Caenorhabditis elegans: one gene and its partners. The protein of the gene in region 1 purifies or fractionates together with the protein of each later gene. This does not show direct contact. Each region holds a gene or a part of one and is shown in the gene's direction. Other genes may lie near its edges.

Region 1 (7,199 bases):
TTCCTAATGTACTGCATGAATAATATCTGTGAACAGTTTAAAAAAAGGTTTATTTAATAAAAAGGCACTGTTTTTTATTTCATGACCCGGGGAGAGGTGAGCAAAAATGGAAATGCAATAAATCCTACACTAATTAAATCACAGACTACAATCGAGGTGGTAAAAATCAAGAATCAAAAAACTATAGAACTAGTGATAGTTGATAAAACGAAGGTAATATTGATAGATACAAAGCTTCATAAGCGACCAATACATGTGGAATCCAATTTTGAATTTTCCGAGTAGACTATCTGAACGGCGAATGGCAAGATCGTGCGAACTTCGGATGACGCATCGGGACATCTGAAATACATATTTTTAGAGTCTCGATAAAAACGGCAGAAAGACCAATAGTCTAATACGTAGATCTTTTTGAGAATAACAGCAAAGACTCCAGAAAGTTTTAAACTTACTTCAATATGTCCATCACTTGATCCAAAAACTCCTAATTTATGCTCGATGTTTCTCATCAAATCATTCGTTTTTAAAATAAGAAGCATTTCTCGTGGCATTCGTGCTAGTACTTCACTGATTTGAGGTATCAACGACGAAGCATACATACGAAGCTCATCTTTTTCACTTTCATTCATTTTCGACTTTCCAATTCCACCTGTGACCGACTTCCAAGAACGTCGAGTGACCATGCATGCAAATAGACCGTAGAGTTCCCCAACTCCCATTTGACTTGCAACTTTCTGAAAATATTAGCTTTCACTTAATTATATATTTTAAAATAACTAACGCGGATCTCTTGGAGATCAGGCTTCAGAATTGCCAGCCAAAGATCGGAATACAGTTTACGAATGTGATCACTGATATTCAAGTACAAACCATGATCCAATAGCACAATTTCATATTTTCCATTTCCTAGGCTGTTGATCAGTACATTTCCAGGGTGCGGATCCGAGTGCAAATATCCTTGTAGAAAGATCATTTCAGAAATAGTTTTTCCTATTTTCATACAAACATCATGTGGATCAATATTATTCTTTTTTAGGTATTCCACATCATCAACATGTGCTCCTTCACAAAATTCCATGGTGAGTACTCTCGTTGTAGTCAAATCGTATTTAATCTTTGGAATTCGTAGAAATTTCAGGTGCTTGAAACGTTGAGCTGCTTCATCGGCATTTTTCGCTTCGTGCAGAAAATCAAGTTCATTTGGAAGATTCTTCTTTATTTCGTCCACTAGCCACATAAGACGGAATTCCGGAAAGACTGCATCGGCAACTTTTACTAAGAATTCCATAGTGTTAACATCGGTCCTGCTATTCTTGTAAACTCGTTTATGCTGAACTTTAACTGCAACCGTCTCCCCAGATTCTTTTAGCTTTGCTTTATGAACTTGTGCCAGGCTTGCCGCTCCAACTGGTTTTTCGGAAAATTCCGAAAATAGGTCGCCGACTTTTGCGTTTAATTCTGACTCCACGACGTAAATGACATCCTCCTTGGATGCTTGTGGAGCTTGCGAGGTGAGAATGCTTAATGTTTGAGTGTACTCTGGTGGTATCAAATATTCCATTCCCGAAATGTGTTGTCCAACCTATATTTTCATTTATTTCAATAGAAATTTGAAGTATAATTCAGCTACCTTGATGAAAACACCTCCGTTGACACAGGCCAACTCCAAAAGATGCTCCGCACTTCGCTGGTGACATTTTTTGATTGCATCATCGTATTCAGAAGATGGCTCTGGAAGTCCACGCAATGAAGTTTTGTAGTCAATTACAATTTTCCCTACCTGAAAATTCAGATCGAAATTTTTTGTAAACAGTTTAGTTTAAACAACTTACGGTTGAAGCAGCTCTCCCAAATCTCAGCAGTCCTAATTGTCTTAAGTCTTCAACGGAATCTACCGTGTACGCTGTATAGCCTGCTCCAGCTCCAGTTCCCACAAATAAGACCTTGAAAACGTTTTTAATTAATACGATGCTTTGAAAACTTAAACAACTTACTTTTGTGAGTGGCTTAAACGCCAGTATTTTTCTAATAATCATGACACCGGGCTGAAAATAACTGAAAATGATGGAAATTCATCTCAAAAAATATCGACGCAAGTGCGCTCCATTGATTGCAGAGAGAGTATGTGTATTCTGGAGGTCAGAGACATTTTTGAAAACAGTTTTTATTTTGCAAAACAGTTTTGAAATCAAAGTTCTTGCTGTTTTCAGAATGTTCTTCTTTGCCTTTTTTTCATTTTTAAGTAATTTTTTTCTCAGTAAAAATATAAATCTCTTTAAACGGTTTATGTTCAGTGTCTTTTCGTAAAATATTTTAAAAATTATTAACAATTACAGTAATTATGAGTCTCAAAAAAATAATCGATGTAAAATCAGTTAACACTCTTCTGAAAAAAGGAATTATCAATAAAGAAGGAGTGCGGATCATTGATTGCTCATTTGCTGTGGCGCCGCGTCCAGATTGGAAAGAATTCGAACAAGAGGGTTATGGCGATTTCAAGAATCTCATGGCTGAGCCCAGCCCGTATGTTTATTCAAATTTTAATTTAAAAAAAAACAAAATTTGAAGGTCCCGGAACTTGTACCTGGCTGGACACATTCCGGAAGCTGTGCATGTGGACCTGGACATTGCCACATATCCATCTCGTTATCAAAGATTCCAACAATACCGCGCGGATCTTTTCGAAGAATATGCTCAAATGGTTGGATTGAACAATAAAGAACATTTCATCTTTTACGGAAAAGGAGCATTTGGTGGAATGCTTTTTGCTTCAAAGGTTGCTTGGATTTTCAAATCCTATGGCCATGAAAACATTTCTCTTGTCGATGGAGGATTTGATTCATGGAAAAGAAATGGATTTGAAGTATCTACAGAACTCGTAAAATTGCCTGCAGGAAACTTTAAAGCTGAAGATAATTTCAAAAAATATGTCATCACATTCCAAGAACTCGAAGCTAAAAAAGACGGCGAAGATAAACAGTTTATCGAAAAAACATCAGAAATTAACTTTCTGGACAGCAGAATTCGTGGTCAATTCGATGGAACTCAAGAGACCGGTCTTGATCCACATCTTGTAAACGGCACTAGAATCGCTGGTTTCAAAAATCTACCTAGTGCAGAGCTTCTTGTGAAAGGCGGAAATTTGAAAAGTGAAGAAGAAATCAAGTCATGTAAAAGATAATGAGTTTTCCGATAATCTCAACTTTTCTAATTTAGGGCTCACTCAAAACGGATATGTTGAAAATCAACCGACAATCACATCCTGTAATGCTGGAATTCAAGCAGCACTTTTGGCGTACGTAATCGATGCTGTGAAGCCATCACAGAATCCTCCCCGCGTATATAATGGATCCTTAAAAGAGATGGAGCTTCGAGCACCGAAGAAAATTTCGGAGGGACCACAGCATTTGCCTCATTAATGTTTAGTTTTGTAGGATTTTTCTTTTATTCAATTTTCATAGATAGATATTGTTGTTATTTTGTTTCTTACTTCATAAAATTTTGGAATAATTTTATTCATTTTTCCTTTTAAATGGTTACTTGACTACCATTCAGACTATTTAGTTGAAAAATCTCGAACATCAGAAACCACTGATATCGAAAAATGATTTTTCATCTTCATTGTGTGATAAGAATTTCAGTTCATAACTTTTGAAAATTGTTCTTCACTTTTATCGTTAAAGTATGAAAAACTTCGAAATTGTCACCGTTACCCCGGATCATGCCGAACAACTCATTTCAATGATTCATGTAGGTTTATTTCTTCTTCTTTATTTGAAAAGAAAATAAACATTTGCAGGAGCTCGCGGAGTTTGAAAAAATGAAGAGCAGCGTGGTGAATACTGCCGAGAAATTGAGAAAAGATATTGAAAACAAGGCAGTGCATGGTACGATTTTGATTTTTAATTGATCATAAATCGAAATTTAGGATTCATTGCATTTATCGGAGAGGAGCCAGCTGGAATGAACCTTTTTTACTATGCATATTCAACATGGGTTGGGCAGGTATTTATGAAACAGTACTGAAATTCAACCAAAAAATCATCATTTCAGTATCTTCACATGGAAGATCTCTACATTCGACCTCAGTTCCGACGAATGGGACTAGCAAGAACTCTGTGGAAGAAGCTGGCTGAGTTGGCTCGAGACAAAGGAATTGTTCGTCTCGAATGGGCAGTTCTCGATTGGAACAAAAATGCGATTGCTCTGTACGACACTGTTGATTATGTAAATTTGACAAAGAGCGAAGGATGGTTCACTTTTCGAATGGACGGTGCGGCGATAAATAAATTTGCTGATGAATAGATATGTTACTTTTATTGGTATAGAACTTTTGAAATGTTCTGCAATTTAAATAAAGTTATTTATTATAGATTTTTTGAATTTTTAAATTTTTATTTTTACCGGATATTCTCAACCCGTGTGAATTATTTCAACCTCCCAATATTATCGATATTATCTTCTAATTTCCCTAAAATTAAAATTGTGTGAGTCGCCCACATTTTTTGGCAATTTACAGATTGACCTTTTCTCCTTTTCTGTATGACACTTCCTATCGCGTACTAGAGATTTCTGTGCTTTTGATCTTATCGATTTTGATCGGATTACCAGTTCAAAATTGTTTTACCACACTGATTACTTCTGGTTTTTTGATCCTTCATAGCAAAGTTTCAGCACGATCTATATTTGTTTCTTCTCATTTTGACACTCAGAACTTTCTGGGTTTAATTGATAAGCGAGAGGAACAGTACCCAAATTTTAAGAAAATCTATGCCACCTATGTTAGAGTTATCTATTATAAATTTAAACAAGTTGCCATATCCAGAAAATTATCATAATATCCTTTTATGGAATCTTCTGAAAATTTAAATTATTTAATGTTCTAATAATTTAATATAAAACAAAATTTAAAAAGATCAGTATCGAACACAATTTTACAAACTTAATTGTGATGAAAATTTACTTTTTATCAACTACTTTTATATCGTATCTATAAAGTTTTCATAAATTAACATTTGTTCTATGTACCCTTTGATCTTTTCACTTTTGACCTCTAATCTCAATGAGACATCAATTATTCAAAATGTGCACGTATTTTCTTTACCCCTCCTCTCTTTTCATACAGCAGTTCTGAGTACGTTCATGGTGCATCGTTTTCTAAACTCAACAGTCGTGTTTCTTTCTCACAAGTCTTTTTTCCTCTACGTTTACGAGTCTCTTATGCCAACCTCGTGATCGCCAGTGATTGCCGAAAGTGCGAAGAACGATCAAAATTTGAAACTTATCGAAGCTGGTTCTGTGATGTTTTGATTAGTACGAAATAAGTCATGTCATGATAGATCGAAAATTCATAGATTCTGAGATTTTCGATTTTCAGCGATAATCTAGCTATCAGATAAAATTTATGTAAACAATTTTCACATAGTCTTTCAGTTTCCAACCCTGAATTTCTAATTTTATCATTGAAATTCTTTCGTTAAATGGAATCCAAATCTTGTTTATTGGCCAGTTTAATTTTATTAAATGTGTTTCATTGATCATTAAATATCATTATGTTGATCTTTAAAGTGAACTTAATTAAATCATTTTTATTTTCAGCCCTTTACGAAAATTAACTATCCCACTACGACCAAAAACAGTTTTGAACATTTTGACATTTTGAAAAATCGAAGGTTCTGAAGTTTAAATCATTTATCCTCCTCCTCTGCGTCTCAGTTTTTGTGTTCTAGTGTCCACCCGAGTCGACTGATAAGACAAAATGACACAAACACCGTCTCTCGGCTATCAGTTTGTTGTCGCCGCAAATTCATAGCCATGGTCAAAGTGTTGATCTAGTTCTCTTTGAATCTAGATTTTTTTCAAATTTTTAACTTGATTGTGATACTCTAAGACATTTTATATCTTTAAATCCGCAAAATTAAAAAAAATTATTATAGTGCGTCCATAGTCTGCGGAAAACGGGAATTTCCCGCGTGCGGAAGCGTCCATAGTCTGCGGAAAAACCGGAGTTCCTCGCTTTTTTTTTCCTCAAAATTCAAAAAGTAGGCGTGGCCAACCAATCAGCTGTTGTTTCTTGTTTTCCCATTGCTCAGCTTAAAATTTTACAGCCTCTAATTGGTTGAACACGCCCACTATTTTGAAATTGACCAATAACAAAGCGAGAAACTCCTTGTTTTTTTCCGCAGACTATGGACGCTTCCGCACGCGGGAATTCCCCGTTTTCCGCAGACTATGGACGCACCATTAACACTAATCCCCGAGATATCAAAAAAAAAAACTAACGATAGAACAGCAAAAAATATTGGAATATTTGGCCGTGCGGAATAGATATTTAATATGGCATGCTCATAAACCATTCTAAAAACTAATTTTCTAATTTTACAAAAATCCAAAACTGAATGTTGAACGTTCTGTGGCTTCTGTAGTTTCTGTAGTTTCTGATAACTTCCTTCTTTGTTTACTTTTATTTTTTTCAATTTTCCTTATTTTCTCTAGGTTCTTCGTCTGGTCTTGGGTATGCCACGTGGTTCTTCTTTCACATCTCATTTCACCGAAAAAACCTAGAAAATCGAAAAACAAAATATTTTATTTTCTTCCCTTCTCCTATCATTCTATCAATGTTATCAGTACTGTTGTTATTCTTCTCTACAAATATCACTAGGTGGTTCTATGGAGAATGAACAATGATTTTTAAATCAATTAATGTATCTTCATACATACACTCACTCTCATGTGGTGTGACCTCTTGGTCTTTTCAAAATCTCTATTGCTCTGCGTACGTGACCTTTCACATTTTTCACCGTTCTAATTTATCACGTGGTCAACGTGGATACTTCTAAAAATCTCAAATAATGTCCGAATTCCGAAGAAGTTTACCACACTTCGATTCGTTCTTGAGCTTTCTGCTCTCACACAGTAGAAGGTACACCAAAGTAATGTTTCTGTGTCTCTTCGATGTTCACACTATCATTATTGAATAATCTTCATTGGTTGTATTCACCGAATAGGTTCACCGTCTCAAAACTATGCATGTTTCAGATAAACGACAACGATGCGGTTCTCCCGCATCCCACCGATCTTCGCTAATGTCGTCCGACAGACACATTATCGTAACTATGCCAATGGAGTTATCAAACCAAGAGAATTCAACAAGGTATTTCATTTCTTTTTCGTGCTTGAAGATAAATTCGGAAATTTTT
Region 2 (9,099 bases), 360 kb from region 1:
ATATCTTGTTCGTTGGTAATTGGAGTTTTCTGGATTTGTATCATTTACTTGACTATTTGACAAAACAACTACAACTGAATCATATTTTCTCTAAAAATATTCGGTCAATTTCTTTAATTTTCAGAATCCGAACGGTGCACAATCAATATAAAAATTCTGGTGTTCATTGTAAATTTAACCTCTTTTTTAGAGATGAATTATACATAACCCACTTTACTTTTACTTTACCCGAAAGCTTACAACACAATTTTTGAAAGCAGAATACACCAAACATCTTCTCATTTTTTCGTTTAGTAGAAAAGTTAAAGTATCGAATTACTAACGGATAGGAACTTTTCAACTTTTCCCTCATCCTCATCTCACTTTTTTTTGAAAATTTTTACGTTTTAATATTGAACCGTTAAAACTGTCTAATTACTCTCCTTTTGGTCATTTGCTTGATAAAGTTTCGCTTGAGAAAGGCAGTTTCGTTTAGAAGTTTATTCAAAAAATCAAACTGACACTTACCAAAATTTGATCAAACTGTCGATACCTTACATTTAAAATTGTTCGGTATATGTCTTAAAAAAACAACATAAACTGGAACGAATCTCTTTGTGAAAAAGCAACAGACATTAGTTAAGCATTTTCATATTAATTACAGAGATGTAACTTTTGATCATTGCAGTTTAAAAAATTGAACTCTATATTTTCTGAAAAAAAAATGTAAAAAAATAATGAAGATTTTTACCGATATTCACCGCTGAAAATTTTGGAAACCATTTCCCATTGTCAGTTTTTACAGTTCAATTTTATCATTGTACAATGTTTCAGCAATTTCAAGCTAGAGTCTATATACTTGCTAAAGTCTATACATTAATGAAAGATCAAAATTTGCGCGCCACTTGTCTTTTTGACAATGTATTTTTAATCAGGTTTTGTCCAAATGTCTATTTAACAGAACAAACTTGTGTTCTTACTTTTTCATTTTCTTCAAGAATATCAGCAAACAAAAAATTGTTGCTCAACGCGTGAGCACGCGCGAATCCAAATTTCATGTGCTCTTTTTCTCTCGTTTTTCTTCAGTTACTTTCATATTAAAACAGTTTTATTGACAACCTGACAAAGTCGATGGTAAATGTTTGGGAGCACCATCGCAGATAAATCAAATTCAATATATATCGGCGGCTGATTTTGTTTGTTCTCTCGTGATAGCACTGATCTATTTTTGTGGCTTAGGGGAAAAGATAGAAAACCTTCTAATGTGATTAGGAATACATGTACAATTGGTATCTGGAAAACATTTTACTTGGTCTACAAATAATTGAACAAATAAATAAAATCTACAAAATTTGATCACAAAAATAGTAGACTGTTGTCTGAACTTTTCTCCGAATTGTTTGTTTTTTACTCGTGAAAAAAACAAAAAAAAAGATCCAGAAAAATGACGAAATTTGAAATAAACAATTTGAAGAGCAGTAGTTTTTCCAATGCCAAGTCTCTTTTCAATTTCATATCCAAGCATGACACGGTTTTTCATTGGGATTGGCAAACAAAAAAATGTGCCAAAAAAGTAAATGTTGATATGAACTTACAATGATCTTTTCTTGACCTTCTAAATTTTTCATCCATTACGTGGCATTTGATTGATTGTAAATACAACTGTAATCTTGTGAAAAACAACTCATTGAAACTATTGAATGCAAACTCAAAATAGTTTTGTCATCATTTTTTGCAGGTTTTAAGATTTTATTCAAGACATTTGAAAGTTTTAAAAAAGTTGTTGTGTGAATTTTTAATTCCAGTTTTCAAAAATTTAAACAATTTTGACATATTCGCTTCAGACGAGATTTCAAACCTTGACTTCTCAGTCTTTATCAATATTACTTCCAATATCAGAAATTCTTTACTGGTGTTTTCGATAAAAACGCATCGTACATATACAATGTTGCATCTGATCTAATTGGATGTAAGTGAGATTCCAGTCTCTGATTAAAATGAAGTTGATATAATTTGAGTCAGAATAAGCTTTTGATTTAGCAAATAACAAAACTAAAGAAGTGTGCCAACTCTATTTTTAGATAGCTCAATGCCAAGTTATAAATGAAAAGTTGCTGCCAACGAGGTCATTACTACTTTTATCTACGTAACTTGCAACAAATAGTTATTTGGCAAGTTTGTTTTTGAATTTTTAAAAATCCGCAAATATGATCAAGAAGCTAAATATTTATTACAAAAACACTTCTAACAGATCTACAACGTTCACTAAACAATTGTTTCGCAACTTTTTAGACTCTTTGCTTGTCTCAAAGTTCTTGCCCAAATGCCTTGTTTACTCATCATCCATCTTTTTGTATATTTCGTTTTTTCTTGATACTTCCCTTTAAAGTTCTTGAAAGTCCGATGAAAAATGCCAAAATGACCCGGTACACTTGACAACCAATGAGTAATACGCAAATAATTGAGAAGATCAACATTATTCGCCTTGTTCTCTACTTTTCACACCTTTTGGCAGATTGCGGAGATTCTCTAAATATTTCGCTCTTTTTCTATTTTCTTTTCCTCCTCTACCTTTGCTTCTCTACCTACAAGTTTACAATTTACAGGCTGCGCAAACAAACAAACGAAAAGAGGTGGAGAAGTCAACGACCTACCCAATAATCCCACCCCTCTGAATCTTTTATTTTACTTTTACATTACAGTCAGTTCGTTGTCGATTATAACCATGACCTCGTCGTTTGCTATTTTCACAATTTCTGCTCTTTTCTGCATTTTCCCATATGCCGATACACTTCGGTGCCATGATTACACAAGCACCAATTTGATGAAGAATCCAATGAAGACATGGGTAAGATTTTAAACGAGATAAGCAATGAGTTAATAGTCAAATTATCCATATTGCTGGAAGTAGTTGAAAAAACACGAATTTACTTATGATAGCCCATTAGTAAGAACATTTTTCATTATTTGAACGCCACTAGCTTCAAACTTTATCCGGTTTTAAAGATGAAAAAAAGTTATTAATCTAAATTATCACTGTATAAACTCGCTAGAGCTCAAGGTGATATGCAGGCACGGACGCCTGCTGACATACCTGCGTGCCAAAAGTGGACATCTTGGCTTGAAAATAAAAATGAAACTTCCAGCTCATCAAAACAAATAATTCATGCCAATATTTATAGGTCGACTGCCCAGCTGACGCTCAATATTGTTACAAAAGCTATTTGGAATCCAGAGATTTTAACAATGACAAAACTTTCGTCTCAGGAAGAGCCTGTGGATCCTCTAACCTTTGCATTGTAAGTTTTTATTTTTACCTGTGGAATTCATCTCTTGGCTCAGAGAAATTCTAATTTTGAGAAAGAAAACCATATTTATCAAATTACTAATTATTTCAGCAAAATGGATGCGTTGGAACTAACACCGATAAGGCCTGCTGTTGCCGTGGAGATCTTTGCAATTCATCATCACTCGTTAAACTTACTGTCTCTATTATGACATTGTTTGCCGTTTATTTCTTCAAAAATTAAATTTCTTTCATTTTTGGTCTTTGAATTTTAAAATACTCTTTCCTCAATTTTCAACTTGTGCTCAGGTGCTCATCTGGCTCTCTATTACTGTATCCATAATCTAAAACCAATGACCCAATTTCTTCTCATTCCGCTCATTTCTTCCCGGAGAACGAACATCAAACAGTAATAATCAAAATCGAATTCATGTGTCAAGTGTCCTTATAATTGTTTAAATCAAATGTAAATAATAAGTTCATCCAATAAAATTTTTATAAAATAGAAAACATGATCATCACTGAGATCAAATGAGTCGTTTTCACAAGGTGGATGAAAAATACTTTTTAAAAAGTTTAATTGGAATATTCAGTCAAATGTGCCTTTCTCCAATGTAATTGTGAATTTTGATGTAACTGATGCAACTGATGAATTATCAAAACTACCAAACATTGAAGAATTTGTATCACCAGGTGCAACAGAACATTCTCGTGACATGAAAATCAAAATTTTAGGATCAATTCCAACTGCTCTCATGACAGATTCTCGATACGGTTTGATAAAAGTAACGGTAATCAATGGATTGATAACGGGAACCAAAACGGCAAAAAGAAGTGTGAAACTTTCAAGAACTGGAGATTCAACGATCCTCAGCTGACCAAGTAGGAAACAAATTGATGAGAATATAAAAGCAATTGGAACAATAGTCTGAACTGTCAGTGCCTGCAATAAATCATATTTCAAAATAATTTACATTTTCAGACTAACCCAAGTCAGCTGTCTATGTTTTTCTCGAATTTCCGGACGGAGAATTGCATTTCGTAACTTGAAGTGTATTTTTCGGCGGAGCCCATACATAATCAAATATCCAGGGATAATTGGAATAAGCATTAGAAGATATGAAAACAAACACGGAAATTCTCGAAGATCAGCATGTCCATTTATAACAAAATCTTGTAATTTATATTGAGAATGATGAATTTGAATAAGTTGTCGAACATCTTCTGGCTTGTTGTTATCAATGAATACGAAAATTGCTTGCAAGTATGATGGGAAGTATATAATGCAAATTAAAATGATAAGCTGTTTAGCTTTTGGATATCTTTCCAGAAGAACATAACATCGGAATATAAAACAGAGAATTAGAAGATGAAAAGAATATGAATGAAAATGAAGTTGAAGACTGAAACCCAGAAAACAAGACCATTCACTGAGATATTTGCAAAGTCCAGTTGAAGCAATTCCAAGTGTTGTACCACTTGGGATTAATCTGAAATTAATTATATATAGCTCAACTCGCCATTGGAGTATAAAGAAAAAATTTGGGTTCTTTTTTGAAAGTGTAATCTCATGAATTATATATAAGCGTGGAAAACATGAAAACGGCCCTGCTTAATTTTGACATTATTGGAAGAAACTAGAGCATATCGAGAACATGGTGCATTGCTAGGAAATGCAAAATAAAATTTGGAAATTACCTTGATTGACTGAAAATATCAAAAAAACAAGCAAGTGCATCAGATCCACCTCTGACAGTCAATAATATAGAAAATGTTCCAATAGATTTAGGGCTTCTGAATAAAGTTAGAAAAATCAAAATCGTATTGAAAACAATTCCGAGAAAAGCGAGCACATAGTGTAGAATAAATATAACCAAAAGGAACATCTTTGTACATTTTTGATATTTTTACATTTATATACTAAATTCGATTTCCGATTTATGTTATGCTTGTCCTTTTATTCGAATCCCAGCAATCAGAATCGAATTTCCGTTTATTTTTTCGTTTGTAGACGAACTCAATTCCAAATAAAAAATATTATTAATTCAAATTCAATCTTTGAAAGACCGATGTTTATGGAATGATGTTTATAATTTTTAAGCAGGCATAAGTTTTGGTTGATTAGAAGGATTCTGATCAATCAATGCAAATAATTTCTAAGACAATTTTATAAAATTTATTTAATAATTTTTTTTAAAAACAACTTTTTCCCTTTAGAAAGGCAATGCAGAGAAAACTTACTAGACAAATACATACTAGTACTAGGTCCACAACTAAAATTTGTCAATAAAAATTTATTTGAAAATCCGCCACTTACGACACTCCGATATAACGATGCGCGTGTAGTTTATCAACTCAGTTTTTCAGTCATTTTTCGAAAAACTTTTTTATTGCGCGAATCTATTTAAAATTTGTTACTCTTTTTTTATTATTATTCTGATAAACGCAAAATTTAAATCCCTGAATGCGCACGTTCCAATTAATTTGTAACCTATAACAAAATGCAATGTGTTGTTTATTATAATGAAAATTGTTTTGCTCGAATTTTCGACGAAGATTCCCTAGTGTATTCGATTCCATGGCAACGCATGATTCCATTCTCCATCCTCTTTGTTTACCTAAAATTATATATTTTTCCAGATATTTCAGTTATGCGATAATGTCTTCAAACTTGCAACTGGTTGAAACGTTTGATAGTCGTCAATTCGTTGTTGCTCGTTGGAATCGAAATGATACGACAGCTATGGTTCCTTCTGCAATTGCTGTCGTTGTCTTCGTGGAGTCGGTTGAGTATAAACTTGGTTGTAAGGTAAAAAATATTGTTATGCTGTGAAAACAAGCATTTGAAATTAAACCGTTTAGGAGAAAATAGGATACTCTCCAACACCTGAAGATCAAGATCAGTTTATGATATTGCAAATGGAATCAATAGATGAAGCCAACAGGATTTGCCACGATTCCATCGCTAAAGGATTTGCAATCAACAATGTAAATAATTATTTTTAGCTGATTGTATACAATTCCTTTTATTTTCAGACGAAAATCGTGTTCACTCCCCTTCTAGGCTTGAACGGATTCAGACTTCAAGATGCCATTGATTTCATGAAAACTTCGCAACCGCACTTCAATAACGACGAGCTTTTGGAAGTGTTGACAATGGCTATCTGTCAAGAACTTCCTGAACGCTTAAAAATTCTCGAAGATGGATTTTCCTTCATTGAACAAGGGGTTTCTGAGCTCATTCAAAATTCTGCTTGTGAGATGTTCGGCTCTTTTGCATCACCGGTGCGGCGAAATGGTTACTCAGACATTGTAAGTTGTTAGAAAAATAATTTTATTTTATTTTATTAAGAAACAATAATGTTTTTAGGACATTAACGTGGAATCAGTCAGCGCTCCAGGTCAACGCGTTTCTACAAATGTAAGACCATTGAACGAAGTTGTGGCAAATCCAAAGGTACAAAAATTACTGTAAATTGTCCTGAAACAATATACAATTACAGTGTCTCATCACTCATCCACTAACCAAATCGGAGCTTGAGACATACCCACAAGAGGAAATTATCAAAATTCTCTACCGGTGCTTCAACGAGAACAGTGCATTCAAAACTAAATTCGAGATGCGTTTCTTACCTGCACGCACTCCAATCATAGTCTTCAAAAATATCGAAGTGGAAGGAATGAATGTATGTTGACGCTTTCAAACATTGATAATTCATTCATTTCAGGTGTCATACGATCTATCAGTTCACAATCAAATCAGTGTTGAGAAGGCGAGCTTGTTGCATGAATTCATCGTAAAAGACAAGTCGAAGGGAAGTAGAATGAAAAATGCAATGATGTTCATCGTACACTGGGCAAAATCAAATAAGTTGCTATCGGGTGACTATCCGGTAATTATATATTGAATTAGGCAGTTCTTAAACTTCATTATTTTAGGAAGAGAAGCTTGAAGTCAAGACAAAGCTGAACTCTTACATCATCAATCAGCTCGTTATTCATTTTGTTCAAGCAGCAACCAACAAGGTTCATGTGAATCCTCAAGCAAAGCGAGATTCTCGAGTCAATGAATACAACTTTGACACTCTGTTCGGCGATTATTGCAAGTTTTTCCGAGAGCTTTTCAAATACTATGCCAACTTTGATTTTACGAACAAAGCGATTTACGGGAAGAAAGCGATGCAAAAGTAAGTTAAAAACTAATTTCTCACAACTAATTTGTATATTTTTTTTTAGAAAAACACTCTCAAGTGCGCACGGAGGCGTTGAAGAATCTCCGTTGATGTTGATGGATCCCATGGATATTACTCATAATATTTCGGCAAAAGTAACAGAAGACGCGGTCAAACTACTAAATGGTCTTATTCGGAACGCTCTTTTCATTGTAAGCATTATTTTGATTGTTTATGGATTAAAAGTTATATTTTCAGTTGAAACAAAATCATTTTCACATCAACTATCTTCTGGAAACCAACACGATGGCTACTATGCTTATGAAGAGCAGAGAGCCAAAAATCAGTATATCAACTAGAGTAACTGATGGAGCCGAGCACCAGTACTTGTCAGTACAACTTCCAGCCGTGGTGATAACCTCGAGTGATCTTTTCCTCCTTCTTACTAGAGTTCTTCGCTTTAATGTCTGTCCGAATGAGCAAGGACCCAGTGTTGTTGATTTATGTACTCCAACGGTTAGTTCTATAGAATAGAAAGAATGTGACGTTTACAACTACTATTAATTTCAGGGTGCCATTTTCCTTGTAACTTCAAGAGCTTGGGTTGGACGTCGCAATACGAAACGCGCTTTGAAAAACTCTCGTCACGATTTGACGCCTCTCCAGATTGATGTTATGTGCAGTGACAAGTACGATTACGAAGAAGATATTGCGGAGTTGCGTATCTCGATGAGCACTGTTCCTGGCACCAGAATTAGGTTGGCATGCATCGATATAATGCGTGGTCAAGTTTCCGAAGTTCGCGACGCAATCCACTTTTTGATTGATCAATTCATTAACAATAACTACGATGACCTCGAGAAGAATGGCGTTCAAACCATTTCCAGGATTCCAATTGCAGCCCCAACTTGGCCATAATCATGTTCTCAATGTATAAGTGTTCTATGAATTCGATTTGTATGTATGATCCACCATATATTTTATTTCATATTTATTCCGGTATTTTTCTGACACGTCACCCAGTGACCATTTTCCATTGAATCTCAACAAATAATTTTTCCGCTTTATTATATTCAACACCCAACTTTCATGATCACTTCTCGGTCTGTGTTCTATTTATGTATATCGAAATTTCTAAGTTTGAAATACACTGGTCATCTTGAAAGCGATTTTTGAGTTCATTGTCGGTTAATATTCCAATTTATATCTAAAACATCAATTTGAATAGGAAATGTATCAAAACTGTATTCAGATGGATCAGAAGGGTTCACAAAGAGCACTACTGGCACAAACAATAAATGAAATTGTCAAGCTTCTTATTGAAGCTCACAATCAAAAAAAGGATGTCAACTTGAATCGGCTGAAATGCATCGTATGTGGTTAGGCGGTAAAACACATTTCAATAAATATTTTCAGGTTGCTCAAAAGAATGGACTGAGTTTTCAACCGAAACTCGTTGACATTATCGCTGGAGTTCCGTCCGATTACAAAGACAGCCTTCTTCCAAAACTCAAGGCAAAACCAGTTCGAACTGCTTCTGGAATTGCTGTTGTAGCAGTGATGAGCAAACCACATCGTTGTCCTCACATCAATTTCACTGGAAACATTTGTGTCTATTGTCCCGGTGGGCCAGATTCTGATTTCGAGTATTCAACACAAAGT
Region 3 (7,199 bases), 2.2 Mb from region 1:
CAGAGCTATTAAAAACATTTTTTGAGATTTTTATCAAGAAACTTAGACTTTTCAGGCACATTTTCCATCTTACGGTATAATGCACTATTTCCAGTGAAACTTTCCAAGTGCGAATAACTAAGTAAAGGGCATTTTGGGTATTCTTAAAGTCACGCACTACTTTCCTAAAATAGTAAAATAACTACTAATGCAAAAGTTCTTAGATGTGTTGCTCTTAACCCACCAGTTTCAATGAACTGTGCAAAATTCGCCTGATCATTCTTATGACGCTGTGAGACATCGTCACACTTGTTTTGTAAATGTTTTGAAAGATCCATGAAATCTAACAAAAACTGATCATTTTGCTCAATTGTGAGAGAAAAAAAAACATAATTTAATCTAATTCAAAAGTTGGTCATTTTCCAAGAACGCTTCAAATTTCTAAAAGCTCTCGCTTTGGAACGAATTTCAATAAAGTAAAGTATTCTTGCCTACGTAATAATTTATTCTTAGTATAAAACAATAAATCTTATGATAACAAAGAAAACGTTGTGTCATCACAATTCAAGAACAAAAGAAGTTCGAGATTATGCAGTACATCTGGTTGATTTTGATGAGCACAAAAAACAAGAAACTGCTTTTTCTGATTTGATGGCTACATCATAGGTGCACAAGAGTTCTATATTTTATGAATCAGCTTCATTTCGTTTTAAAAATTATCCTAGTGATTTCAGATCACAGATTTCTTAAATTTAAAAGTGATTTCATGTAATTTTTGGTGCAAATTTATAAATATTCAAAAGGGCAATATTGGTAAAAGGTTTTTAAATGCGGTCAGAATCGACTTTTCTCCTGCGTTGTCACCGGATAAGCGTCATAACCAACTCCCACATTTTTGCAAGATTTGAAAAAAAAAATTGGGAGGTTAGGGTGATGATGCTGAAGGTATACTTAGAAACGTATTGGAGGTGGAAAAACAAGCATCAGTATTTATGAAGCTGGTCTTTTCAGATATCATGGAAAAATAGCCAACGAAAAGACATTGCAATGACCGAGATTTCTGTTTAAAATAGGTATTTTTTGGAAAATTCTCAAAATGTTTGCATAATTCTCAACATATTCAAAACACGATGAATGAAGTTGGATAATTATGAAATTTAGTTTTTATCCTAAATTTGGCCATTACACATGGTGTCAGAGTGTCCCATTTCGGTTTGATCTACGTAGATCTACAAAAAAGCGGGAGTTGAGACGCAGACTTCTCAACTGATTTCGCATGGTTCAGAGCGTGCTAACGTTACTTTTTTTGGGAAAATTCCCTTGTAGATCAAATCGTAATGGGACAACCTGACACCACGTGCCGTTAGGGGGAATTTTGAGTCTTGGGAAGTAACACGAAATTTACTTGTCCCATACGGTAACATACGGTAACTTTCTTATTTCAACAGAGGCAAACTTGCAAATTAATCTAAAATATTATCAAGCTCTCAAAATCCTCTAAATTCGTCGGCGAACATCGGCTTAACCGCTCAAATTAGTCTGCGCGCATTTCAAATATTCCAAATTCCATATCTATACCTTTGGAGGTAAATCGTCATCTCCTCGGTCAACGAGAATCTTGAAAATGTCTGCAGGACTGTCCACATTGAACCAATCTTCACAGAAAAGTCCAGCAAGTCGTTCGTCATACGCTCTCTTCGCTTCGAGAACCATCAACACTTGGTAGGCTTTATGGTGATCTTCTTCAAGTCCGGATAACGAATCAGTTGATGCCTGAAACATTTGGAAAATGAATGGAATTATGGTGTCGATGTATGATTTGAAAGTAATCGTAAGATTGGTCAGATCATTGCAGATTTTATAAAGTTGCGTTTGCGTAGGCATAGTCCTTCAGCATCTAACATCACTGAACATCAATTTGAACTATGGCTTGTTTTCGTAGAAATTCATTCTTTTTCTAGGAATAATTAAACTATTGTTCTAAAAAAGAAAAAGTGAACTACCGGAAACAAAGAAGCCATGCTGAGCGTAGAAAATCGTCGGAAATCACGACATTAAAAAAGTTCAGTGCCAGCGACCTTTATTTCAGATTTTGAAAATTAAATCGACGAAAATCAATTTTTCCCCAACATTTTAGAAAACAATGTATACAAGAAAAAAAACAATGCATGCAAACAATGCAAACAATGTGTTTGTTTTATAAGAATTTTTTTGGCAGATTTGAGTGGAAATCAAAAATCTGAAAAGCCCGGTTTTGGGGAAATTCTACCCAAAATCTGAGAAAAATGAACTGAAAAACTTTCAGATTGAAATTTTATGGAAATTTTTTTAGCATGTTTAGTATGTTTCAATGGTATTTTTATCTATACTTCTACTTATTCATTTTTTAAATGTAATTTAACTAAACTATTCTATCAAAAGTTTATTAAAATGCCACCGGACATTAAATTAAACCAAATTTTTATAATTGAATTTCATGAAATTTGATAACTTTAGCATTTCCGGTAACCGGGATACATGACATTTCAAACTAAAAACTCAAAGAAAAAGTTGTCGTTCTTTGAAACAAGTCACACTTATAGTTTGTAGAAGAATCACACGAAAGACCAAATTTTCTAGTAAATTTTTTGTAAACGTGGGAAAATTGTAGTGATGTTGAGTAATGTAGTGTGGTCGAAGCATTTCTGTTGAAACTCACCAAATCATGCAACTTTTTCAGATCTTTTCGCATTGAAGACGGACTGTAGCCTGGCCATTTATTCATAAAATCGCATTCTTGGACTGCATTGTCGAATCGCTGGAAAATAAACATATATTAGTTTTAATCTCCAAAAAAAATAATTTCTGGACTCGGAGATTTTGTTTAGAAAGTAATCTACCAAATCGCGCGGGTTTATAAAATTTGCCTCCCATAAGAATAAGTCTACTTTAAGCCAGTTTTTGCGTGGTTTTTGTTTTGTTGTTCTCCTCTCATACATCGGATTTTACTGTAATCCTATAAAGTGATTCAATTTCCTATTCTCATATCGTAGACATGTTGATTTGAAAGGAAACTGTCTCGTTTGACGTATTATAATAATCATTATTATTATTCACAGGCATTATTCTTCCTTTTTCCAGCTAGTCGACAGTTTCTGAAACTGTGGACACTTGGGGTTTTGAGCTCAAAAATCACAAGACAGAATATTAAATACTTCCACTTTTTTCACAGGTCAGATCTATCTGCAACAAAATGTAGTCAGAATGATACCAGATATAGGGTCATTTGACAAGGGTCCTTCTTCCTTTATTGACGTCAATAATGAAATCAGAACAAGAAATTGGGTGAAAAGTGCAAAGGGCACAAGATGTACTTTTGCCATTTTTTTAAATTTCTTTTTGAGCATCTTCGTGACCATTCAATCATTTTCAGAAGCGTTCTTCACACGCAAATGTGCCACTTCCACACCTCTCAAAAATTTGAAATTTTCACGCTGAAAATTGGATTCCTCATTTTGTGTGGTTCCTGGACACTTTAAGATTCACTAGGATTAAATTGAGATTAACAGTGACGCCCGGGAGCTCGGACTTTTCGGTTTTTTTCGGATGGGAATGCCGACTAGAAAAGTTACATTCGTTGAAGTGAGACATATTTAAAAGTACAAAACGATTTGTTGATCTTCTATACTTTATCAAATGTCTCTTTAAAGCTACTGGCAAACATTCAAATGATCACCTCATAAGGCGTGGTAGATCAATCACTAAACGTGCAGATTGTCTTTAAAAAAATTTTAACTCCAAAATTTGGTCGTTCAAATAATGAGTCAACGTTGTGGCTCACAAAACAGAAGAGTTCAGAAATATTTTTGGTGCTGGTAGCGATGCGGATAACTAATTAGTAGAGGCTAACTGAAATCATTCACGTCAAGAGGCAAAAGAACACCGAATCGCTGAGTCAAAAAGAGTTCTGATCAACAGTAGGGAAGATCGCACTGTGTAGAATGATCTCAAATGGCGCCCTGTTTGGTACGGTGAAATATAGGGCTGTACAACCGGACGTCCGGTCGTCCGAACCGGACGCACATGCGTCCGGTTGGGGGTAGCTATCCACGACGGCCGACAATTTCCGAGTTTCGCCACTCACTATAAAACTGCTGATTAAGTATAGTGAGTGGCGAAACTCGGAAATTGTCGGCCGCCGTGGAAACCTACCCCAAAACCGGACGCAGTGCGTCCGGTGGTGTCAAAATCGGACGACCGGACGCCGATTTGTACAGCCCTAGTGAAATAAGTACACGTCAAAAACCCCAATTAGTGAATAAAGGGATATCCGTGTTATTTTTTTCCGATCTCCTCATTCTGAAAACCTTACTATCTATATGACATAACTTGGCATTCTTCCCTTGATCCTTATGTACTTTTAACTTAATCAAAACATGAGCTGACCATTTATCTTAACATTATCACCCGTATCTGTCACATGTTTCTAAAAAACACCTCCTGATCTTCAGCTTTTCTTTTCCACCTCCTTTTTCCTATTTTCCAGCTCTGTTCAAAGCCCGCCTTTCGTTACTAAAAAACTGACTCCGCCCATTTCAGCTTCATCATATAAACAGAGTTGGCAGTAGGGCTAATCACTACTTCGAGTCACTCGGACATCTGCCGATCTCTTTTTTTCGATCTCACTGAAACGGTCGACATGTTGAACACTCCAACTGTTATTCTCATCTCTTCACTCGTCCTGGCCTCGGGTTACAGTGTTCGTTCAACTGCTAAGAACACCGTTCAAGATGCTCACGATCAACTCACAAAGAGCATTCGGTGCTGGGAGCCGATTGATGTCAACAATCCATCAAAAGGATACACGATGAGCGAGCCGATCTACGAGTTGTGTAGCTACATGCCAGACCCAAAGGACTACAACAAGTACTACGTCAATGGAGTTCAAATGGATTCCGATGATTACACCAACATCTTGGCCATGTACGGAAATCCAATCCCAGGACACGCTGTGATCAACGTTTGTCTACAAGAGGTAGGTTCAATATTATCAGGCTTAATATAATTGGAGGAATCGGTTTCTTATATAAAATCACTTCAGGCATTCCAATTCCACGCTGCAAACCATCCATCTCAGGTCAGCCTACGTTGTTTGTGCAAAAGAGACGGTTGCAATCTACCAAAAGGATTTACAACCTTCCTCGATTTCAATAAGCTCCCGATGCCAGAAGTCTTCTACTAATTCCTGAATCCTTTCGTCCAATAATATGCTATTCGTCGGGATGTCGCCAGTCTTCTTTTCCTATAATCCCCATTTTTGAATAATTCCTGATTTTCTTCTTCCTTGAACCCGTGATAATGACCATTTCTGATAATTGAACAAACGAACTGAATAAAGATGAGAAACGTTGCAGTATTCTGAGTTGTTCCATAATCCCAGAATCTTCAAATGATCGATTGCTTACGAATATTTGAAAGAAAAAGTGAACAAAGACTATGGTATACATACTCTCCCAACTATAAGTTAGCCGACTATTTTCAGATATCATGAAGAGGCTCCTTCGACGTAGGTAAATCTTCTGATTATACCCATTCATCTTGATTGTATAAATGCCGGATTAACTGACATCCATTATTGCTTTCCATTCTTAATCCGATTAGATTATTCCATTTGTAGATCCACCAAAAAATGAAATATATGTGTGACGTATAGAGACCAAAGAAGCTATTCATTATTCTAGATCATTCCAACTGTCTAACTTTGGTTTTCAAACTTTTAAACAGTAAATAAATGAGCCCTGAAGAGTTGATCGCCGTGCGCGTCCAACATCACCCATACAACTCATAAAGTATTCTTCGTGTGAGGTCTTGTTTACGTCACGGGCTCTTCTTGCCAAAAAGCGAAAAGCTAAAAACGAAGAACATACAACGCAACATAGGTTATTCTGCAAAATTAATGAGATCTTGCTGATGAGAGTAATCGAACACAAATTCTTCGATGCATCTGAATGATCAATCTGGCAATGAGCAATGGATACACATAAATTATTTCCCCTGCAAAACTAGTGGCATTCAATTTGCATTTTAATGATAATATGGGAATGAGCACGAATCCTCGCTTATTCCATTTATAACATTCAGGTTAACCGGTCTAGTGATTCTGAACTTTAGCAGACGAGTTAATGATAACCAAGACGTCGAAATCATCAGAGCTGACATTATTGACTTTTCAGCAGAATTCAATACGTCAGACACATCTTCTAATTGGGACGAAGCTTCTAGATATTGTGCAATGATGCTTCTCATCTGAAACCTTGTCTGGCGGAGCCAACTTGCACTTTTCAAGATATTATTCAAGAAGCACGTCAAAGGTGTGGTGGGTGGTGAAACGCAAGAAAAAACTAAAAATATCCTAAATGTTCTATAATCTTTTATTATTGTTTGGGTATTTGATACCAGATCGTGATATTCCAATCATCCAAATGGGATAAGAAGCTATTCTAGATTTTCTGTCATTTCTTGAGCTGAAAACAGCTTTCTTCAATAATCGCGGGGTTTCTTGGCATCGGAGGATTCAAATGTAAAAATCTGCGAACTTAAAGGTTTTCAAACAAACTTCAAAGAGCATGAAAAATCACATAAAGTGGTTAGATTCTCTAGAACAAAATATTACAGTAGTACTCTATGAATGATTCACTGAAAATTTCGAAAAACAAATGTATTCTCATTTTTAGAAAAAAAAACAATTCGTACCGAAGTCAAATCGTGACGACTTTAATCCGCTTTTTATTTTCTTTTTTGTTCGACAACTGGCTTCAATAACGACAATAACGCACGTAATTAATTGAGAAATCCGGTGGATGTGTCATTGGAAGAAAAATTGAATTTTCAAAAAACGATGGGGACCCATTTTTAATCAAAAGAGCATGGGTGCTTTGTTCATTTTATCTTGTTATTCTTGAAATTTCATTCCATTTTTTAAGCACACGGGGGTACTTTCAAATGCGGAAATTTTTTTGGCATTTTTGTGAAATTGCTCACCTTTTCAATAATCGACCACGTGGCGTCGCGAAGAAGTGAACATTTGTGATAAAGAGCCGATCGCATGAATAGAGAAACACATGATTCATTTGATTCGGTGACACTCGGAACGGCGACTCGTTTCAGACGACGCTTATGATAGATGGTTTGGAGGTCCTGTAATAACTTTGAAATGGTGTAATTTTTTTTTTTTTTGAAAA
Region 4 (8,928 bases), on another chromosome or scaffold:
CTCTCTAAGTTAAATTAAACTTTTATTTCGAAATCATTTTTTTTTTGGATCATACAGTACTCTTAGTAATTAATCTTTGATTATTCTTATCCAGTGGCGCAGACCAATCTTGTTCCGATTTTCTCAAAAAACTCCGATCATCACATCATTTTGTTTTGATTGCCGCTATGTGGTTCTCGCCCAGCTGATGTCAGTGATAGTGGACAATTGTCTAGATGGGAACCTAAGTACTTGACTAGTCCTCATATAATTTAGAAGATTCATCACTCGTCTTGCCATTGGTCGAATTGCCATCGTGTCTTTTTTCCTTATATCGGTTGGTAGTTGGGCGAACTGTAAAAAGGCTCTAAAAAGTGAGGGAAAAGAAGTGAAAGTGAGCTGAGAGACGTCTACATTCACTTTCCATTTTCTAAGTTAGGTGATATTAAATCTTCTTTTCCCCCCTTTGCCAAGTTTTTTTTCTAACCATATCATTTTTAATGATCTCATCTTGATCTATCCTTCTCTCTCAGTTACACACTTCATCAAAAGGCAAAAGAGTTGGCTCGATCACTGCAACCCCGAGTGACCAGTGCTGGTCATTCGATTGAGTCGCTCCAACTATACGATTTTTTCGCCTCTAACCAATGATAACATCTTCTCCTCCTTCGCTTTTCGTTGAAGCGATAACATATTTCCGTGTTCCAAGTGACTTTTATTATCAAAGATTGACATTGGGAAAAAGTTGGTTTTGGAAGATAAAGCTTTTTTAATATAAATTTTCTGTGTTGTCTCTAACAGTATTCCACAGCAAAGAACAACCAATAATTCAATAAATTAGACTTTTAGATTTTGATAGATTGTGTAAGTTGTATTTAACTTATGATCAAAAGTACTGATATAAAAACTTTTCAACAATTGCCTTTTTTCTACCAGAACAATTTCATATCTCTCACCTTTTTCTACAAGAAAAACTGTTTTTTTTTTCATGTGAAATTTATCACTCTCCCCAATTCTCGCCTCTTCTACTTGCAAGGATGTTACCATACATGATGTAATCTCTTTTCCCGCAAGATGTTTGGTTGTGACCATTGCTCTGAATTACGGTGTTGAAACATTTAACTGCTATCACATCACACTGCCACCCAGCATTGAAAGGACAACATTCTCACGGTCTCTGTTTCGTTTTGTTATTCGTCTAGCCATCTCGTGTGATCATCAACCATTGACTAGCAACCACGCGGAGCTCGTGGTTGCGGTCGAATTGTGCAGTCATCCTCGTGGTGATATTGTCTTCAAACTCGTCATTTCCTGCGGGTACTAAAAATACAAACTTACGGGACGAAAAAGTGGTTTTGAACTCGGAAGTGACCGACTTTGATGTTTATTAATCACAAAATAGGACATTGATAAGGAATTTCGAAAGCCAGATTCAATTTTTATTTAAAACTCATCGAACTCCATTACTGCCAAATCATCTCTACTCAATTCAGATAGTTCGAGCATTTGATAAGATTCTGTAGCACAAAATAACTACCACAAAATCTTATCTCTTGTAAGAACATTAGATATTTGGTTAGAGGCCTAAAATATAATTGTTACGAGATTTGTAGTTTTCGCTACTTTCTTCATCAGCCCATTTAGCAGCTGAGAGCTTCAACTGTCCAAATAGAAAAAAATGGCTCACGTGGCCACAGTTTGTTTGATCTAAGTTTTTTTACGAGCACAGGTCTGCTAAAACTGTGATGACGGAAAGGTTTTGTTTGAGCTTTAACAAACCTCAAGGTTTTCAAGAGCCTCGTTTTGTCTTTCCACTTTCTATCTGATGCTTTTTGTCAGAGGAAAGGGGTTCAGACTTTTTTGTTCTGTGAAAAAGGGGTCAGTTTTCTCATTTACCGAGTCATATAAATTTTTCAAAAGACAGATGAGAGATACGTTTCAGGCAGGAAATTTTGAAAAATGCGTAAACTTTCTACAATACTTTCGAGGCTCAAAAACAAAAAGTTTGAAATGATGAAGTAGAATGTACAGTGAAAAAGCCTTCAACTTTTAGACATAACACTCTTTACGTATTAAACACGAAGTCTTCTTTTCCTGCAACACTTTCTTGTCTAAGCCAGTAGGTGGGTCTGAAACTCTAGAATCCAATGACGTGTAGCGACTAGAGCCCAACTATCTTTTTTTTGCCAATTGTTTTTGCCTTTCTCCGGGTCAAAAGCTTTCGTCTTCCGATCAGGAAGAGATGGGCGGGGTCTCGTCCTGACGGGAGGCCGCGGTCGATCGGTCGGTCGCCGACGCCTTCCCGCCCCTCAACACTGCCCCGCCGTTACCCTCCCATCGGCCACACTCCTCACAACATCTCATCATTTGTTCGCGCTGCTCTCCCCACGTGCGCCCGCCACCACGGGGGCCCATTTGCTGCTTTCTACCCCGCTTCTTCATTTCTCTGCTCCTCTTTCAATATTTGTTGAACTCGTAGCGTCCATCGCTCAGATAGACGAGAAGCACCGAGAAACATAGAGAGCGATAGATGTTTTCTACTAAGGCAACGTCCCTTGCGCCTACAAACCACCGCCACACAGCCCCCTTTTTCTACTCCTCCTACTTCTTCACACTCTATTGATATATGGCGCCAGTTCGCCAGTCCAAATGTACTGCCTCCATCGGCATAGCAGCTGGACATTGTGTCCTGTCCCCTTTTCCACACGTGAAGCCTCAACTTCCTGCCTGGGCCTTCTTTACTAATCTTGTTTCTTATTAACACCCGTATCATTATCATTTCCATGCTATCAATCGTCCACTTTTCTCATTTCCCACGGTCGCTGAATCAACTTTAATAATATTTTCTGTTCCAGAAATACACACAATAATGCCAGCAATCCTGTCGCGAGTTGCTCCACGCACCTTCAACCTTGTCGGATCAAGGCTTATGGCCTCCGCAGCCAGATTGGAGACAGTACCAAGAGAGGAAATTCACAAGGAATACGATAGAAAGAAGACTTTCTATGTTAGTTTTATAGTCTGAATATTGATTAAACTGTTAATGCTTTTAGCACAGAGACCTTGAAATTCAACTCGCCGGTCCAACACAACTGAAGACCAAGCCATTGGACCCAACAAAGCTTAAATTCGGACACACATACGCTGATTACATGATGACATGCGATTGGGATGCCGAGAGAGGATGGCATCATCCAAAGATTGAGCCAATTGGAGAGCTCAAAATTCATCCCGGAGCAAAAGTAAGTTACTGTCCATCAATTTAAAATGGCGCCATAAGTGGTCAACGGTAATATTGAATATTTGCACTAGTTCCTGAAGTGTGATTTTTTAGTGATAAGCGTTATTGAATGATAAGCATTAGCATGAACAAAAAAATTAAAAATTCAAGAAAAGGTCATAAAATAATGTCAATCATTTTAATAAACGGCACGTGGCAGTTCGCTTTGCATTTTTTTTGTTACCCGCCGGTCTGCCACACATTTCTATCCGTTGTGCGGGCGATAACTTTTGAAGATTTTCAAAGATGATGTAATCACCGTCACCTGTCTTTTTCACCTCTGTGACCTCTTCTCTGTGATCAGTGAAATCTGATATGGGATAGAAAGACGAAGAAATGTGAAACTTTTGAAACTTTTGTAGGGGACAAAACTCGAAACTAGAAAAAAATCAGTTGAATCTGAGCTTTTCTCAGCGACCAGAAGCCAAAAAATGAGATTGACATGACAGCATGACACTTGTTGGAAATTATCAATCTTGAAGCTAAAGATCACCGACGATTTTGTGTTTTGTTACATCAAACAACCACAAAAAACAACTAGGAACTAATTAACAATTTTAATCCATTTGCTTTGCTTCCAGGTTCTTCATTACGCCAGTGAGCTTTTCGAAGGAATGAAGGCCTACCGTGGTATTGACAACAAGATTCGCATGTTCCGTCCAGAAATGAACATGGCTCGTATGAAGAGAACTGCTCTCCGTGCTGCACTTCCGGTAATTGACTTTAGCGTTGTAAAATATACGAAAAAATATCAAAAAACAAGAAAAAAACTAGGGAGAAGCTCTCAGAAAAGAGAAAAGCTAATTAAGTGATAGTCATCTTTTTGTGCAATTTTTCCTGAAAGCATGTGAGAGGGAAGTAATTAGTTTGAGCGTCTTGAGCGCATGAAAACTACTGAATGAAAAAAAAACATCAGATGAACAAAAAATTGCAGGATTTCGACTCAGAGGAGATGATCAATGTACTTACCGAATTACTTCGTTTGGATCAAGAATGGGTGCCAAATTCAGATGTATGCTCATTGTATTTGCGTCCAACACTTATCGGAACAGATGTAAATTGATTCACAAAAAAAACAATTCCTCTGTAAAACCAACTGTTTTCAGCCAACACTTGGAGTGGGATGTGCCACCGAAGCTAAGATGTTCGTTATCACTGGACCAGTCGGAGCCTACTACTCTACAGGATTCCAGCCAGTCAGCTTGCTCGCTGATTCTCGTTTCATCCGTGCTTTCCCAGGAGGAGTTGGCGCATACAAGATGGGATGCAACTACGCCCCAACAATCTGGGTCGGAAAGGAGGCCGCCAGCAAAAACTGCCAACAAGTTTTGTGGCTTTATGGAGAGAACGAAGATCTTACAGAGGTCGGAACAATGAACATTTTCTTGTTCTGGAAGAACGAGGAAGGCGACATGGAATTGATCACGCCACCACTTCATCGTGGACTCATCCTTCCAGGAGTCACCAGAGACTCACTTCTTGAGCTTGGGAGAGAATGGGGAGAGTACAAGGTCACTGAACGCACACTGAACATGGAAGAAGTCAAGAAAGCTTTGTCAGAGAAGAGACTCTACGAGATGTTCGGATCAGGAACTGCTTGCGTTGTTTCACCAGTCGGAAAGATTCTCTACCACAACAAGGTTACCGATGAGTACGAGGAGCTTCACATCCCAACCATGTCCAGCAAATTTGGAGTTATGCAAAAATTCTACAACACAATTAATGACATTCAGGTAAGCTTGTTTAAGACAGCTATCTCCTATTGAAAATAAATTTCAACTAATAATTTTTTATTTCAGTACGGCCGAATTATCAAAGACGGATGGATGCGCGACATTTAATACACAATATAATACTCCACTTCTGCATCAAAACCTTTTCAATATCCTTCCTTCAATACTGCATTTTTAATACTAACGATGGGTTCTGTTCAACAATCTCGGAGTTTTCTCTTCCCCCTCAATTTGTTTTTTTTTCCTCTACGCAACTGGGAACAACTTATGAAGTTGGATTTCTTATATGAGCTTTTCCGAAGAGCTAAGCTAACGATTTTCTGAGTTCATATCAGAATACGTATACAAGTCAGCTCGGCGTTGATTAGATCATTCGCCTCCTTATTCCCCTTCACTAAAACTACAACTAGTTTTATAGACACATTTATTGATTCGATTTCAAATGGTATTTTTTTAATTTCTTCTCTTCAATCCCCCTCCCAACTTCCTTCCACCCCCTCAAAAAGCGCTCGTGTCCCGGTTTATAAATCATGCTTCCTGCTACACTTCACCATGTCAAATACTCATATGATCATCTAGAATAATTTTTTTTATGTATATGAGAAAGTCGTTGTTAGTTCAAATGGCTATTCGATTGCATTTCATGTTTGTTGATTCAAAACACCTTCTTTTAATAAAAGTTGAAAACTTTATACTTTTTTCTATTTTTTAAATTTTTTAGAGACAACTATAAAGAACGATATCAGTTTTCAAACAATGTTTTGTTGAAAACTACTAACTTTCACTTACAAAAAATATTATATTAGATATTTAGCGACTTTGTGTTTGATTTAAAAAATTTTTATTTCAAAAAGTGGCAACTGGTGAGAATTTGCCAATCTTTGAGAATGTAGCGTATTCAAATTCTACAATGTTTGAATTGTAATAGTTGGAATAAAAGAAGACCATAAAATTCGATGGAATTTATTTTGATCGATGAATTCCAAAATAGTGGCAAAAACTGAGATTTTGTTTTCCATTTTCCATAATCATAAAAAATGTTAGAAAATCGTAGTGCCACATGCACGAGTTTCTAAAAAATAATTATTTTTAATATTTGCAATATTTGTCCAGAAGCTGTTTTTTTTTCAAAATTTTTGATGACGGTAAAATCAAAAGGAGTCTTTATATTTCATTTATCAAACTATTTTAAAAACATTCGTAAAAACTAGTCTACTCTGCCTAGTGTTTTCTAACAGACCTGGCAATTCTGAACAGTATGGATGAAAAAAGACTACCTTCGATTTTCCTGTCAATTAAAATTATGAAAAAATGAAATTTTTGGTTGCATTTTTCACATACAAACATTTTTATACGTTTTTTCCAAATAATGAACATTCTCACAATAATCTTGACCGTTTGTCTCGTGTAAATAGCCGTTTCTAAAAATCATGGGTTATTCATTTTTTTGATTTTTTATAACATTTTGATTTTTTACTTTTTTATATGATTCAAAAATTCATTTCCAAGTCCTTTCATAATAACGTCTGATGTTTTAAATTATTGTTTATAGATGCATAGGAAAGTAGAAAAAAAAATAATTAAGAAGTATATTTTTGCGGGAAAAAGCTTTAACTTCACAAAAGAGTGCGATTCTACTGAAAAATTTCAGAATGACAGTCTTTTGTGAAGCCAATGCTAAAAAAACCCAATTGGCTAGATCGAAGTGATCAGCGCAGATAGCTACAGAAGACAATTCCAAAAACAAGAAGATTGCAAGTTAGATTTGAGATCGGAAATTGAGATTTGGTGAACGTGTTGATTTTCTTGTGGACTGAGAGTTCAAAAACGTGTAGCTAAAACAATAGAGCAATAATGAATAGAGAAATGATGGACAGTAACGTGAATTGTGAAAAATCGGGACGTGTCTTGAAATGCCGGTAGATAATGAAATTTGAATGCGCGATATCAATTTAGAGTACTGAACAGCTTTTCTTCTCTTGGAATGGATTGTGCTGATCGGTTGGCCCGGAGACCAGCATGTCGTTGGTCTTGTTCTTCTCGCAAAAATCGAGCAGTCTGAAATTATAGTTTGATTGCATATAAGTAAATATTTCACTTTTGCTATTTGATATTCCACATTGTCATATATATTCTTGTAATTTTCGATGGTTACAAAAATTCGATTCGTTTTTAAATTATTCAAACATCTGAAACAATTTTGTCGTTCTGTCGGTTCTGTCGAAATGGTTGTGACGACATTATGTACTCTAAATATCACTAAAATTGTGAAGTATTTCAAAACTATACTTTTGTGTAACCTAATTTTAGTTATGCGTTGTTTTCGATTGCCTTGAAGATTTTTCGAGTAAGTTATTGATTTTCCAAAAAAAAAAAGAAAATCGTTGAAAGAATGCCTACCAATAAAATATCGACATTCATTATTTCTACAGTTTAGTGCTTGCCACAGTTAATGAACCTGGCCACAGTTTGATGAAAGAACTGGAGCAAATTATGCCATATTACGATGTTACGTATCACACTTTCTTTAGGATATAAAGTACACTTTTAGACAAAAAAAATACCAACAAGAAATGTGCAATTTTTACATTAATAATGAGAATTATCCAAATAACGTCTCGGAGTAGCAATACTAAAAATAGATACCTATTCTCATATGTAAATCACCTTTGCTCATAAAAAATAACTTACTCCTTTGAAACTTCGGAAACTTTTTTTCGTTGAATGTTGGCCTCAGCACAGAGTTGTTCGGTTGATGCCTTGATGTTTTCCATCTCAGATGGTTTCTGGAACTGAAAGAAACGCTAATAAATTTTCAAAATATGATAAAACAAATCTTCTTCTCAATAGCGAAAACTGGTGAAATGAGTAAGGTAGCTGGGAAGAAAAAAAGCGAGGAGACAAGTTTGGTGTCGACGCAAAATGAGTAGGTTTGGTGGGTGAAACTACCAATTTTACGATCGGAGCATTTGCTCTTTTGTCGAAATTAAAGGGTTTCGAGGCAGAAGAGCTCATGTGCTAAAACGGTGTTTATAATTAAAAGATTGAAGACTGAGCTATGTTTAATAAATAGATTGGAGAGGATTTTACATCTGGATTCTGAGACTCTTCACGACAAAAGAGAGGCGGTAAAAAGTGAAATCCAGTGTGAGAACTGACGACGGCCCTATGCGCTCTTCATCATAAAAAATATTGTTCGGGATTAAGTCGTCCTCCCTTTTTCGTTTCTCTTCCTTTTACTCTTAGTCAATCCACAATTCAGGGGATTCGGAGGGATTTTGGCGCCAGCGGATTTAACATTGATTTTATTATTGAACATTTTTGAATATTTTTGATATGCTACATTCAATATAATTTATACGTAAATATCAAATTGGCCAGAAAAATGTTAATTTTTAATAATTCATCAAAATAACCATACAAAATACGTTGCGGCTAAAATTCTTAAAAACTAATACTTCTACTAACTCATTTCTTTCTCAATCTAAAAATCACTCAGTTTGCAAAGCTCTGTTGATCAAAACAAGAACTGAATGAATCGAATCCAACTCTTTATAGTTGTTTTGATTGGATTTGTATTCAAAAATTTGTCAGTGACCATTTGAATATAGATTTGGTTTTTTGTCTCGATTCCTAGATTTGTTATTTGTAAAAAATCAGGAACAGGCAAGATGATTTGTATTAACTTTCTGACTTTGAAAATATTCAACACGAAATTGTATTTAGTTAATAGCTTACGATCACATTTAGTATTTCTTGAATTTTAATCAAAATTAAATTATTTTATATGCTATTTTAATAAAACGAAAATTGCGTTGGACAGCAGAAAATTATAACAAACTGAGAAGAATATGAAAATTACTGAAAATTATACAACTAGGTTCTCAAATAATGTGAAACCCCAATTTTCGTTTTTATTTGGACAGAACTAAACTT

What was found.
Region 2: the proteins of D2023.4 (region 1) and usip-1 fractionate together in Caenorhabditis elegans (co-fractionation; one large-scale study listed by BioGRID). This does not show direct contact.
Region 3: the proteins of D2023.4 (region 1) and droe-4 fractionate together in Caenorhabditis elegans (co-fractionation; one large-scale study listed by BioGRID). This does not show direct contact.
Region 4: the proteins of D2023.4 (region 1) and bcat-1 fractionate together in Caenorhabditis elegans (co-fractionation; one large-scale study listed by BioGRID). This does not show direct contact.

What each region holds. Positions count from the first base shown.
Region 1 is NC_003283.11:11,822,205-11,829,403, reverse strand, and holds D2023.4 (Thialysine N-epsilon-acetyltransferase), read left to right. Parts: upstream 1-3,641; 5' UTR 3,642-3,684; coding exon 3,685-3,750; intron 3,751-3,799; coding exon 3,800-3,887; intron 3,888-3,928; coding exon 3,929-4,005; intron 4,006-4,053; coding exon 4,054-4,305; 3' UTR 4,306-4,371; downstream 4,372-7,199. Other genes in the region: D2023.6 (ABC1 atypical kinase-like domain-containing protein), read right to left, coding at 190-342, 453-734, 782-1,582, 1,631-1,780, 1,833-1,943, 1,995-2,036; Putative thiosulfate sulfurtransferase mpst-1, read left to right, coding at 2,342-2,523, 2,569-3,170, 3,217-3,419; pyc-1 (Pyruvate carboxylase 1), read left to right, coding at 7,052-7,153. UniProt on the Caenorhabditis elegans protein: Catalyzes the N-acetylation of the amino acid thialysine (S-(2-aminoethyl)-L-cysteine), a L-lysine analog with the 4-methylene group substituted with a sulfur. Substrate specificity: thialysine > O-(2-aminoethyl)-L-serine > S-(2-aminoethyl)-D,L-homocysteine.
Region 2 is NC_003283.11:12,181,001-12,190,099, reverse strand, and holds usip-1 (U6 snRNA-specific terminal uridylyltransferase), read left to right. Parts: upstream 1-5,905; 5' UTR 5,906-5,924; coding exon 5,925-6,074; intron 6,075-6,127; coding exon 6,128-6,253; intron 6,254-6,301; coding exon 6,302-6,577; intron 6,578-6,635; coding exon 6,636-6,722; intron 6,723-6,768; coding exon 6,769-6,951; intron 6,952-6,993; coding exon 6,994-7,158; intron 7,159-7,204; coding exon 7,205-7,452; intron 7,453-7,501; coding exon 7,502-7,649; intron 7,650-7,695; coding exon 7,696-7,953; intron 7,954-8,007; coding exon 8,008-8,355; 3' UTR 8,356-8,599; downstream 8,600-9,099. Other genes in the region: ZK863.8 (UPAR/Ly6 domain-containing protein), read left to right, coding at 2,705-2,827, 3,162-3,278, 3,378-3,509; srd-4 (G protein-coupled receptor), read right to left, coding at 3,855-4,208, 4,254-4,755, 4,964-5,151; elpc-3 (Elongator complex protein 3), read left to right, coding at 8,690-8,809, 8,854-9,099. UniProt on the Caenorhabditis elegans protein: Acts as a specific terminal uridylyltransferase for U6 snRNA. Responsible for the addition of UTP at the 3' end of U6 snRNA which stabilizes U6 snRNA. Does not have activity towards modified uridine containing 3'-monophosphorylation or 2'-O-methylation.
Region 3 is NC_003283.11:13,988,105-13,995,303, forward strand, and holds droe-4 (dietary restriction over expressed), read left to right. Parts: upstream 1-4,551; 5' UTR 4,552-4,657; coding exon 4,658-4,993; intron 4,994-5,059; coding exon 5,060-5,200; 3' UTR 5,201-5,372; downstream 5,373-7,199. Other genes in the region: ric-7 (CRAL-TRIO domain-containing protein), read right to left, coding at 1,558-1,752, 2,678-2,776, 7,000-7,155.
Region 4 is NC_003284.9:12,874,646-12,883,573, forward strand, and holds bcat-1 (Branched-chain-amino-acid aminotransferase, cytosolic), read left to right. Parts: upstream 1-2,834; 5' UTR 2,835-2,848; coding exon 2,849-2,986; intron 2,987-3,032; coding exon 3,033-3,221; intron 3,222-3,444; exon of another isoform or gene 3,445-3,577; intron 3,578-3,840; coding exon 3,841-3,972; intron 3,973-4,193; coding exon 4,194-4,313; intron 4,314-4,365; coding exon 4,366-4,992; intron 4,993-5,058; coding exon 5,059-5,100; 3' UTR 5,101-5,683; downstream 5,684-8,928. Other genes in the region: gpc-1 (Guanine nucleotide-binding protein subunit gamma), read right to left, coding at 6,945-7,050, 7,684-7,766. UniProt on the Caenorhabditis elegans protein: Catalyzes the first reaction in the catabolism of the essential branched chain amino acids leucine, isoleucine, and valine.